Linked DNA regions of Styela clava. The protein of the gene in region 1 interacts with the protein of each later gene in a biochemical or structural test. Links are inferred from orthologs where the notes say so. Each region holds a gene or a part of one and is shown in the gene's direction. Other genes may lie near its edges.

Region 1 (3,762 bases):
GCTTATATTAGGATCATTTTTAAAATTCAGGCTAGGTCTTATTTTCGGGTTGGATTTTATTTTCGGGAAAACACGGTAGTTATTTGCTCTATACCGCCACACTGCCTTCATCTGAAGTCGTTTTATTTGTGTGCTATGTCTCGCCTCGTCCGCTTTCTGGCTTTAGCTGTTGGGCTGTCGCTCAGTTAATTTGACTCGCCGCTACTTCGCCTGTTCTTTGTTCGCATTACATTGTTTGTTGAGCTGGTTGTCCGAGCCGTAGATGTTCGTGTTATTCCAGTATTCGGCGATTTTCGGCTTGAATACGTACAGACTTATCCAGTATGAAGCGCATGGCGGTATAAGCTACGTTATCCCAACAATTATCTGGTTAACTTATTTATAATTTAAATACTTTGTATTAAAATCAACAACAATTCGATTATTCGGTGATTTTTAGCTTAAATACGTGTAGACTTATCTAGTATGTAGCGCGTGATAGTAAGCTACGTTATCTCCACAATTCTCTGTTTATTTACCGATTTAATTACTTCATAAGACAGTAAGAATATCAACAAAATACTGGAAATATGTGAATCCAGGAATCCTTAGTCCTTAACAAAAACACAATTCAGAAATTGGTTGCTAGGTGAAGTAATAAGAGCAGATTTGTGGAAATGCAACGGAGTTAGACTACCTAACTCATTAACCAGATTTTAGAAAATCTGAATTATTCATTCCAGTATTCTGGAATGAGGTGCACTAGCCTACAGCACTAATGCGGCTCGGTGGTGCGGTGCATCGTTCAAAGCGTTAGAAATACGCTCGCCAAACCCTGCATGGGTTCGCAGGTTTGAATCCTGTGCGATAGGTATGTCTGTATGTGCAGAAGCATTGCTGGACTCATCGCCGCCGTAGGGTCAGAGGGTGGTTCACCCCACATAACCCTGGTCGATTACGGCATCCTCCACCATCAAGTCCATGCTTCTGTGCTTCCGAAAACAAATAACTGGCTAACTGATCTCAAGCAACATTGGCTGGTCTCCGGGTGAGAGGCTGTGGTTCGCCATATGATTATGCCATCTTATTGGCTTTCCTCCCCCCCACGTGATAAATTTTTATATCCTAACTTAATGCCTGAATGTAAGTTAAACTAGACACAATTTTTCTTCTTATCTTAGCAGTCTATTTGCTCTGCAGTTTTCAACACAACCGTTGTTACTCGCAGTACTTAAGTCAGTACCAGTAAATGTTCTTTTCATGAGTTCTGTTGTATTTATATTTCGACTGTCCTACTCCAGTACTGCTTTCCAGGAATCCCACTAAATTTTGTATTGTATCAAATGAATCTGATCCTTTGTAATACAGTAATAGCTGTGTGAATATTAATATCCTAACAATAAAGCATTATGTTATAATTTTGAGAAAAAGTTTACGATACGGTTATATCTGTAGCCAAGATTCCTACTTATCTTGATCTGTTTTCTATTCAGCTATTACATAAAAAAACATAACAGTGTATCAGATGTCAATATTTATTTCAAGATAACACTGGTAACTTAATCTGTATATTGCCAGAAGTTGTAATCAGCAAACTTCATAATGTCTAAGTAAGCTGTTTTTCATTTTCTTCATGTGGTCAGCTGTCATTTTTTCACAAATTTTCTATTTGTATAGGTCAGTAGGTGGTTGATTTAAAATGTGTTCTTTAGAAGTGTACGTTTCAATCTGATCTTAAAGTTAACTGGTGCTCGATTGGTGGTTACTTAAGCCAGATGGATAAAAAAACACTTTATTCTTTGTAATTACCAACACAATGTCGATTCTGGCAAATCTAAGATTTGAAATCCATCTTAATTTTGAATTTGTTACACATCCATCTTTCATTACTTAAACTGTTTGAAACTTTAGGGACAACTTTCATTTTGTGAATGATATGGCTTAATGTGAATATCGATAACCTGCTTTGACATAATTCAATAGCCTATTATGCTGAATCCTGTACAAAATTGAAATTTGCTTTGCTTGGGACCATTTTAGACTACATTATACATATACATTATACAAATTTTATTGATATATTATAATAAATGTATTTTCAGTTCCAGGAAATCTGGAATGAACTCTGGATCACTAACAGGAAAACAGATTGGTTTAACACAAATATGGGAAGATTTAAAACAAGGGATGGATCAGGTAAATCCTGCTTAAATTAAATATCAGGATGCAAGTGTCGTCATATCTTCTATTTAAATTAAAGTTACATCGAGTGGAGCGTCCGAAGTGACTATTTTTATCTGATAAGTCAGCAGGACGCTGCCGGGCTGAGGTCAATCGAATATCCCATTTTAATGTCTTATATCTGTCATCGATTGAATTCGACTACCCAGTTTATCGTGTGAAAAACGTCATGAATTTTTTCTGATGACATGAAAACTTTTATTTATAAAAGCAATATCGAATAACCTTCTGTGTAAAATAATCATCTGTATAAACATATTTTTCTGTGTTTATCCTATTATGGGTAATCTCTGCTACCACTCCTTCGTGAAATGTATATACTTGTATAAAATATTTCATCACATTCAAATGTTGTAGAAAGGCCCACACTTATATTTCTTGGTAGGAAATGAAAGTAGCTTCAAAACAAGGCCACAACTTACTTTGGTTACAAAGATACGACGCTAGCCTTTATTGCTACCAAATATCACCTAATTTTTAATTAAAATTTGAGCCCATCCTGTATGGGGAGGGAAATTGAAGGTTGTACAGGAAATATAGAATTTAATGTAAAAAATTTAATATTATGAATGATAATTGCATTCCGTTTCATAAAACATTTTTATCAAAATTTTCTTTTTATATATGGCAATACTTCTTATTTAAGGTTTACACAATCAAAAGTATGACGAAGCCAAGATATATTGAACTCTACACGTAAGCGTTATTGTTGCCACCATAATTTAAAATTGTATTGAAATTTAATGATTGCCACCCACTGGTATTATTTTACATATAGTCTAATCTAGATTTACCATATTAGGTTAATGACAAAGAGACAAAACAAATGAACACCAATATGAATGTTCAATTGAATATGTCGCGCATCTCCTTATTAATTATATATGTGTATTTACTGTATGTCATATATGTATGCAATTTGACATCGCATGTTCTGGGTCATGGTGGGTTGGCAGAAAAAACATTCTGTATTGTTTCTGAATATCTCTCTATAAAAGACATGTATGATTTATGTCCCAGGTGTCACAATTTATTTTAGATATAAAAATATCATTCCTAGTGGTCTATCCAAATAATTTCAGGCATGTATACAATTACTGCACATGCGTTCAACTTAGTGGGAATTCACGTCAAGCACCAGGTGCAATAGTTTCTAATAACAGTTTCAAATCATCACCGGGAAAGAAATGGCAGAATGCTCAAAGTGCACATTTTGTTGGGCATGAACTGTACAAAAGACTCCGATCATATTTGCAAAGTTATTTATCTAGTATACTCCAGGTACGTGAAATTTCCAACCACCGGTATTTCCAAAACTGACTGTTCATTTATTTTGTTATCTTTACCAACAAATTCCTTCGATGTGATTAGTGTTTCGACTTACACATTAATCATGTTGAACTATTTTTTTTTTCATATACCGGTAATATTAATGTTCCAATATTTTCTTGAGCTGGCTATTTGCTTCTAAGAAGTTGAATTTAATTCATGTAGTCATGGATTTAACAATTGGATCTATTCATAGTTTCGGTACTTATATAT
Region 2 (3,762 bases), on another chromosome or scaffold:
CAGAGTAATCACCCAGCGCCAGTTGACATTAGCTTTGTATTGGTCTGTTGGTAGACCAATTCTGCAATTGCTGAATTCAGCAATGACCAGCAGACCAGAGTCTTAGAGTACAGAATCAATTGTCTACCAATCTACAGTTAGTATCAGTTTCAACGGTTTAATGTTGTCACAGTGCGATATAGCAGCGTTAACTTAACATATACAGTACAGCACACTATCCAAATTTCAAGGATTTCCCCTTCATTTGGCTCAATAAAACAAAGACTCTATGTGTCTCAAAAACGAGGGGCGTCTGGGACCACGTCAGATGCTTCATATCGCGCCATGCTTGTCTCAATAATAATCTAAATTAATCGCGGCCGTCACATGACTAAAATTGCCTGTTTTTTCTAAAAACCTTACGAATGCACGGTAAATTTTTTTTTCCTTTGGTAAATCGGATTATTTTTTCTCAAGGAATTCAATGATGACGTTATTAGATTGCGCTTTTTTATAGTATTTTGGGCAACTTCATTATACTGTATTATTACCGATATTGAGGACAACAATGTCCAGACGTCTCCCAACAGAGGGGTGTCTGATCATATGTAAAATGGGTTTTTTTGAAACGGGACAATGTCACCCGATTTGCATAGTGTGTTGTACTGATATATAGGTAGCCAAAAATTTCCATATTAAGTTGGTACAAAAATAAAATATCATGTTTCATTAATTACAATACTGCAATACGAGATATATTTTAAGCTTTTTGTCAGGTGTTAGCACTGTAGAAAACAAAATTCCTTTCAGTCTTCTGACCTAACATTATATGATTATAGTTCTCTGTGTTAAAAAAGGAATTACTGTATTTCATTGCCCAAAAATGTACAGATTTTGAGAAGAAAGAGGAAAATGTAGTTCACTGCATGTCACATTACACCTTACCTCCCACATACATAATTCATTCAATGGAAATCTTGACCCTTAATTTAATTTGGTCTCGTGTAGTTTCGTACCTAAAGTCTGAAAGTACTTTCAGTGGGCGTAGCATAACGATGTTAATCCTAACCCCCACCTGACTATGCCATCCAAAAATTATGTCACTACTACGTTACAATCACATCATAGAGCTTGTCAATGTATACCTACGATTGCCCAAAATGGCATCTGCCCGGCGATAAAGAACTCGCTATCGACAGCGATCTTTCTCTTATCAGGATGGATGCGATGAGAAAACGAGTTTGCTAGGTTTCGGGTGATTGTCTGCGTGTTTCGTATAACAGTTCGTATTGTTTAAATTTGAAGGGCCTAATTACTTTATTACGTCACTGTGACGTCGCAGTGACATAATTTTTGGATGACACGGTGGGGGTTAGGATTGACATATGCAAAAATTGTTATGCTATGCCCTCCAGATGTACTTCAGGTATGAAACTACACTAGACCCATTTAATTTAACTTTCTTTTTTATTGTTTTCATTTATAAAGTATTTGCTAGATCTTATGTTGATATACAGTGGCAAATCATAAATTATCATGGCGAATGTGTCATACCATATCTCGAATTTATTGGAAAAGATGACTTCAAGTGATAAGGATTTCAGGTTAATATTTTGATTGAATCTACATGTACTTTGGCTGTTTGTTGCCTTGCAAGGATTACTATTTATTTGTTTTGATCTCGATAGGGATGACCTGATTTTGTGTTAAATTTTGCAAGCACAAAATTCAGATACTTCTCTATTATGCTATGCTAAAGGTTTCATTACCGGAACAAATTTGGCTGTGAAGCACATAGCGGAATGCAATGTTCTCAGTTGCGTGATACATGCTGTTATGTTCTCATTGAGGAGAAGACTGTCTGCATGTTAGTTATGAATAGAAAATCTGAATTCATATTTGCTTTAACTGTATTTATGTGAACAATTTATTTTAGACAACACACATTTATTTACAAGCTTGAATTCCTTCTTCTGAAGCCCCTTTTGCTTCATGAAGTCATTATAGATATTTATAGAAAGAGAATATAAAATAATTTTGTGTTTTTTCTCATTGCATAAAATAAATGATTTTTTAGATTCATGGCAACAAATGATCTGATGACTGAGTTACAGAAAGACTCCATAAAATTGGATGATGACAGTGAAAGAAAGGTTATTAAAATGCTTCTCAAATTGCTGGAAGATAAAAATGGAGAAGTTCAGAATCTTGCGGTGAAGTGGTGAGAATGGATGACTTTTCTACCCATATCCTAAATTCATAAACATAGTATCCATTAAGCAAACTTGTTTTCAACTTCTTTTCACCCACAGTACCCAAAAATGCAACTACTGTTAGGTTTGTTGAATTTTTTTTCATACAACAAGGCTTTATACAAGCAGCCACTAGTATCTATTGATATGTAGGAGGCTACTATTTTACAAAGGACTGGAAACTTGGCGTTGCCTGCCCAACTTAGAACACTCTGTTTAAGATATTGGGCATAGGATTTGAAACTGAGATGAATATGCCAACTCAGTTAGATCGAATTGTTTAACGCCATCAGGATTCTTGTCCAAAAGATGTTGATAAACAATAGGCTCTTGATCTAGAGCAGGTGAATTTAAACTACGGTAGTTATTATTTTAGCATTTCGAATGTTTAGATACTTCTGTTACAGTAGCACTATAGAAGGATTTACATATTGGCTAAAATCTCTGAAAATGATCAAAGAAATAGACTGGATAATGTAATAGACACCAGTTGTCGTCAAACTGTGGTCTTCAAACGACCTCACTTTTACCGTAAATGTGTATATTTGGTCCAGCAATACATTAAGTTTGCTGACCACAGATGCATTCAATTGCTTTTCGGATTGATGATTGCTGTGTAAACTGTGAATGAATGACCATGGCTGTTTTACTCAGTTGTCAAATTTTTTTTAGTTTATTTACCCTTATGTTGTAATATTTTCCAGTCTTGGACCTTTGGTTGGTAAGGTGAAGGAATATCAAATTGAATCAATAGTGGACACTTTGTGCAACAATATGTTGTCAGATAAAGAACAACTGAGAGATATATCAAGGTAATTTGATCATAGAATCAATTTTAATAAAAAACTGATTATGATTTGATTGAGTTTTATTCCATTTTCTGGCAGTCAACTTGAACAATACTGAGTTTAAAGTGATTTTTGAACTGCAATTCTGGGGAACCGTAATCACAGGGAACAAAATTGTCCCAACTGCGATAAATGCAGATTTTTAAACAAACTACATCAGAATAAACATCCCTCAATGTTTGTAACACTGTGTACTGAAATGAAATTATATTTTGTAATCTTTTGATTAACAATCGTCTAACCTGTTTTTAGTATTGGTCTGAAGACTGTCATTACCGAACTCCCAACATCAAATTATGGAACAGTTGGAACTATTTGTAAGAAGATAACCAATAGACTTACTTCAGCTATTTCTAAACAAACTGATGAATCAGTGCAACTGGAAGCACTTGACATTTTAGGTTTGTTGAGTTTTTTGTATAATACAAATTACGATTAAATAATAAAAATGTGATTTCCTCAGTGCTACACAAATTTACAAAAGCTATATTGATGTACAGTATAGGTCACCTTTGTGGTTAGTTCTGTGATTCTTACTATTAATAAATAGAAAGGTTTAAACCCCTTTTATTTGGAAAATTTTGAGATGTTATCTGGTGTGAGCGCAGTCAGCCATTTTTTGTATGAAAAAGTATGGAAATTGTTAATAAAGTAAACATTAACCATATACAATATGAAAAGCC
Region 3 (2,920 bases), on another chromosome or scaffold:
CTCTCTGACCAAAATCAGATTTCCTCAGACAAGCAGTTGTAAACAAGCATAGCAAAGTACCTATGGATGTTTCCCCGAGTATCGTTTTCCTTGTTTGTTTCCGTAACAATGACGTAACATTTGCAATTTCTTGAACCGCTTAGTTTAGACGGATATATAAGCATGCTTCCAAAAATCGCCCCGTTTTCGTGGGTTTGCCTGTTTTTTGTCGATTTTAAGCGTTGGCTGTGAATCAACTAACCTGATTGCCATTGTGTCTTCCGGGAAGTTTTAGTTCAGCTCAAAATTAGTCCAGAAAAAGCTACGATATACCGGTACTAGGCTTGAATTGACAATCAGTGAGCGGCACGTATTTGAATATTTTCAATAAAAATGGCTGTTTTAAACTTGTTAAGCAGTTTGCAAGCGACATCTAGCTGTATCACTCCCGAAAGGATCAAATCTTGCGATGGTGGAGCATGGACCTTTCCCCGAGCATCGATTTCCTTGTTTACTTCGTGACATTGGCCAATCAGCAAAATGCAAAACGTGACGAAACAGTGCTCCCTTTTCGCATCCGCTCAGACACTTTTCTCACTCAGACAGATCGTCAAGTGTGGTGTAAACATTACCGCGTTTTTGAACTCTATCCGTTAGTTTTCAGTTGTGTTTCGGAAACTCAAATATAAATCAGATAATTCAATGAACAATGAATAAGTTTCCTAGGAGTTTTAATTTAATTGCAGTAATAAAAAATTAGTGTAGAAATCTTGTGATAGACTAAGCTAAAATTTATTATCGGTACTTCTAAAAAAACAGATTGTTGTATGCGATGAATCGTAATGATAGTTTGAAGCACATACCCCATTTTACAGGCGCCAACTCGCAAAAGCACTCTTAAAATATCTCCGAAAATTTTGCATTCCGGGGGTCAAAGGTCGGGGAAAGGTCTATAGGAAAAATATTGTGGGGGTCAAAGGCCGGGAAAGTACATTTCTGTGTGGTTAGGGTCTCGATGTGATGGGGTTCTTGCTCATTCACTCTCTAATCGCGGGGCAATATCTGAACATGGGCTTCATACAGCTGTCTCATGATACACGATACTTGTACCGGTATTTGGGTCTCATGTAGTTTCGTACCTAACATACTTCCACCTTCTCACCTCCTGACCTCTGACTACTCTGGGGCCAGTGGGTTTCCCCCTTAGTTAGAAGTAGGCCTACTTGTCAGAATTGTGGTTCAAAACTACGTTAGTCCCCGAAATTGCAGAAAATTTAGTGACAGAATTGCATTGTATACTCAGATATTTGTTTCATGCAGTAGTTTCTACACTAAAATTTCAAGTAACAACCAGAATCGGAATTCATTTTTAATCACTTTGAGTGAAAATTCGCACCGTATTTTTTACTTACTATATATTTTTTCAGGTTGATTTGCAGTAATTAAAAAAATAATGTTTGACTGCCCATGAAAGTATGATGTTTTAGATATTAAAATGAAATCTTTTGCAAGCCTTATTCAGGATCTTGCCTTGCAAAATTGTTTTTTATTCCAATAGTTTTGGACTATATTGTTAAACTATTTCGTTTACAACGCTGTACTATTGATTGATTTCTATGGATGAAATAATATTAAGTTTCGGAGACAGTTTGTTGTATACGTCAGACTTATTACTTCTGAATGATTCACAATGGCTGAATGATAAGATAATCGGATTCGTTTATGAGTATTTTGAAGTCGAACAATTCAAAAACTCTAAAGACATCGTTGCCTTCATGAATCCTAGTGTGGTGCAATTGTTGAAAACACTCACAACCGAAGAGGCCTCAGCCATAATAGGGCCACATAATTTCACTTCGAAAAAACTTGCATTCATACCATTGAATGATAACAATACACTTTATCCAGGTGGTATTCATTGGAGTCTGATCATTTGCGACTTTTCGTCAAAATGTTTTTTTCATTTTGATTCTTTATCTAATTCATCAACATGTTTCAATAGACAACCTGCTAACCAGCTATGTAAGCAATTTGCTGCTTTATTTGATTTTCCAAGTGTTACTATTACTCAGATGCAATGTCCTAAACAAACAAATGGTAATGACTGTGGTATGTATGTAATTGCAATAACCGAGTGTTTATTTGAATATTACTTGAAGAACGAATCTTTTCAAAATGGCAGTATTTTAGATAATGTTTGTGCCTCATATATAAAAAAGAAAAGGGCTCATTGGAAAAAGTTGATTCAACAGTTGGCTGAACAACATGCAAGCAGCTAAAAAGCAGCTCAGAAAGGAGATTAAAAAGCGAATTTCTTCACTAACAGAAGAGGAAAAGTTATTGCAGTCAAATAATGTCACCAAACAAGTTCTTCAACACCCTAAATATGTATCCAGTAAGAGGTTATCGATATTCTTAAGTATGAATGATGAGGTTAAGACTGATGCAATATTGAAACAAGCATTTCAACAGAAAAAAGATGTTTATATACCAAAGTATATAGGGAACACCATGGATATGGTAAAACTGGAATCTTTGGAAGACTACAACAGCCTACCCGAAACATCATGGCATATTAAGCAGCCATCAGATAATGATAATTCAAGACCAAATGCCTTGGTTACAGGCGGCTTGGACCTAATATTAATGCCTGGTCTTGGCTTTTCAACTGATGGGAAACGTCTTGGCAGAGGGAAGGGATATTATGACAATTACATTAAAAAGTTACAAGAAAATGGATACCACCCATATTTATTGGCTTTGGCTTATTCTGTGCAATTATGCAATGAAATCCCAGTGTCAGAATTCGACTATCCTGTTCATGAAGTTTTGTATTCTGATTAGTTCAAGTCACCAGTAAATTATGTATACTTTGAAATGCTTTGTTCAATATTCATAGAAATATCTTATAAAGGTTTTTATCACACAAACCAAACATTTA

What was found.
Region 2: the proteins of cullin-1-like (region 1) and cullin-associated NEDD8-dissociated protein 1-like form a complex in vitro, tested with the Homo sapiens proteins (6 studies listed by BioGRID and IntAct). The link is inferred for Styela clava from reciprocal best matches to the Homo sapiens genes CUL1 and CAND1.
Region 3: of the proteins of cullin-1-like (region 1) and sentrin-specific protease 8-like, one has a biochemical effect on the other in vitro, tested with the Homo sapiens proteins (2 studies listed by BioGRID). The link is inferred for Styela clava from reciprocal best matches to the Homo sapiens genes CUL1 and SENP8.

What each region holds. Positions count from the first base shown.
Region 1 is NC_135252.1:8,236,369-8,240,130, forward strand, and holds the start of cullin-1-like, read left to right. Parts: upstream 1-1,441; 5' UTR 1,442-1,581; coding exon 1,582-1,589; intron 1,590-2,081; coding exon 2,082-2,175; intron 2,176-2,866; coding exon 2,867-2,916; intron 2,917-3,302; coding exon 3,303-3,501; intron 3,502-3,762. UniProt on the Homo sapiens protein: Core component of multiple cullin-RING-based SCF (SKP1-CUL1-F-box protein) E3 ubiquitin-protein ligase complexes, which mediate the ubiquitination of proteins involved in cell cycle progression, signal transduction and transcription.
Region 2 is NC_135258.1:12,202,771-12,206,532, forward strand, and holds the start of cullin-associated NEDD8-dissociated protein 1-like, read left to right. Parts: upstream 1-1,439; 5' UTR 1,440-1,515; coding exon 1,516-1,583; intron 1,584-2,056; coding exon 2,057-2,200; intron 2,201-2,935; coding exon 2,936-3,043; intron 3,044-3,331; coding exon 3,332-3,480; intron 3,481-3,762. UniProt on the Homo sapiens protein: Key assembly factor of SCF (SKP1-CUL1-F-box protein) E3 ubiquitin ligase complexes that promotes the exchange of the substrate-recognition F-box subunit in SCF complexes, thereby playing a key role in the cellular repertoire of SCF complexes.
Region 3 is NC_135263.1:15,659,959-15,662,878, reverse strand, and holds sentrin-specific protease 8-like, read left to right. Parts: upstream 1-1,391; 5' UTR 1,392-1,595; coding exon 1,596-2,258; downstream 2,259-2,920. Other genes in the region: 5-formyltetrahydrofolate cyclo-ligase-like, read left to right, coding at 2,245-2,823. UniProt on the Homo sapiens protein: Protease that catalyzes two essential functions in the NEDD8 pathway: processing of full-length NEDD8 to its mature form and deconjugation of NEDD8 from targeted proteins such as cullins or p53.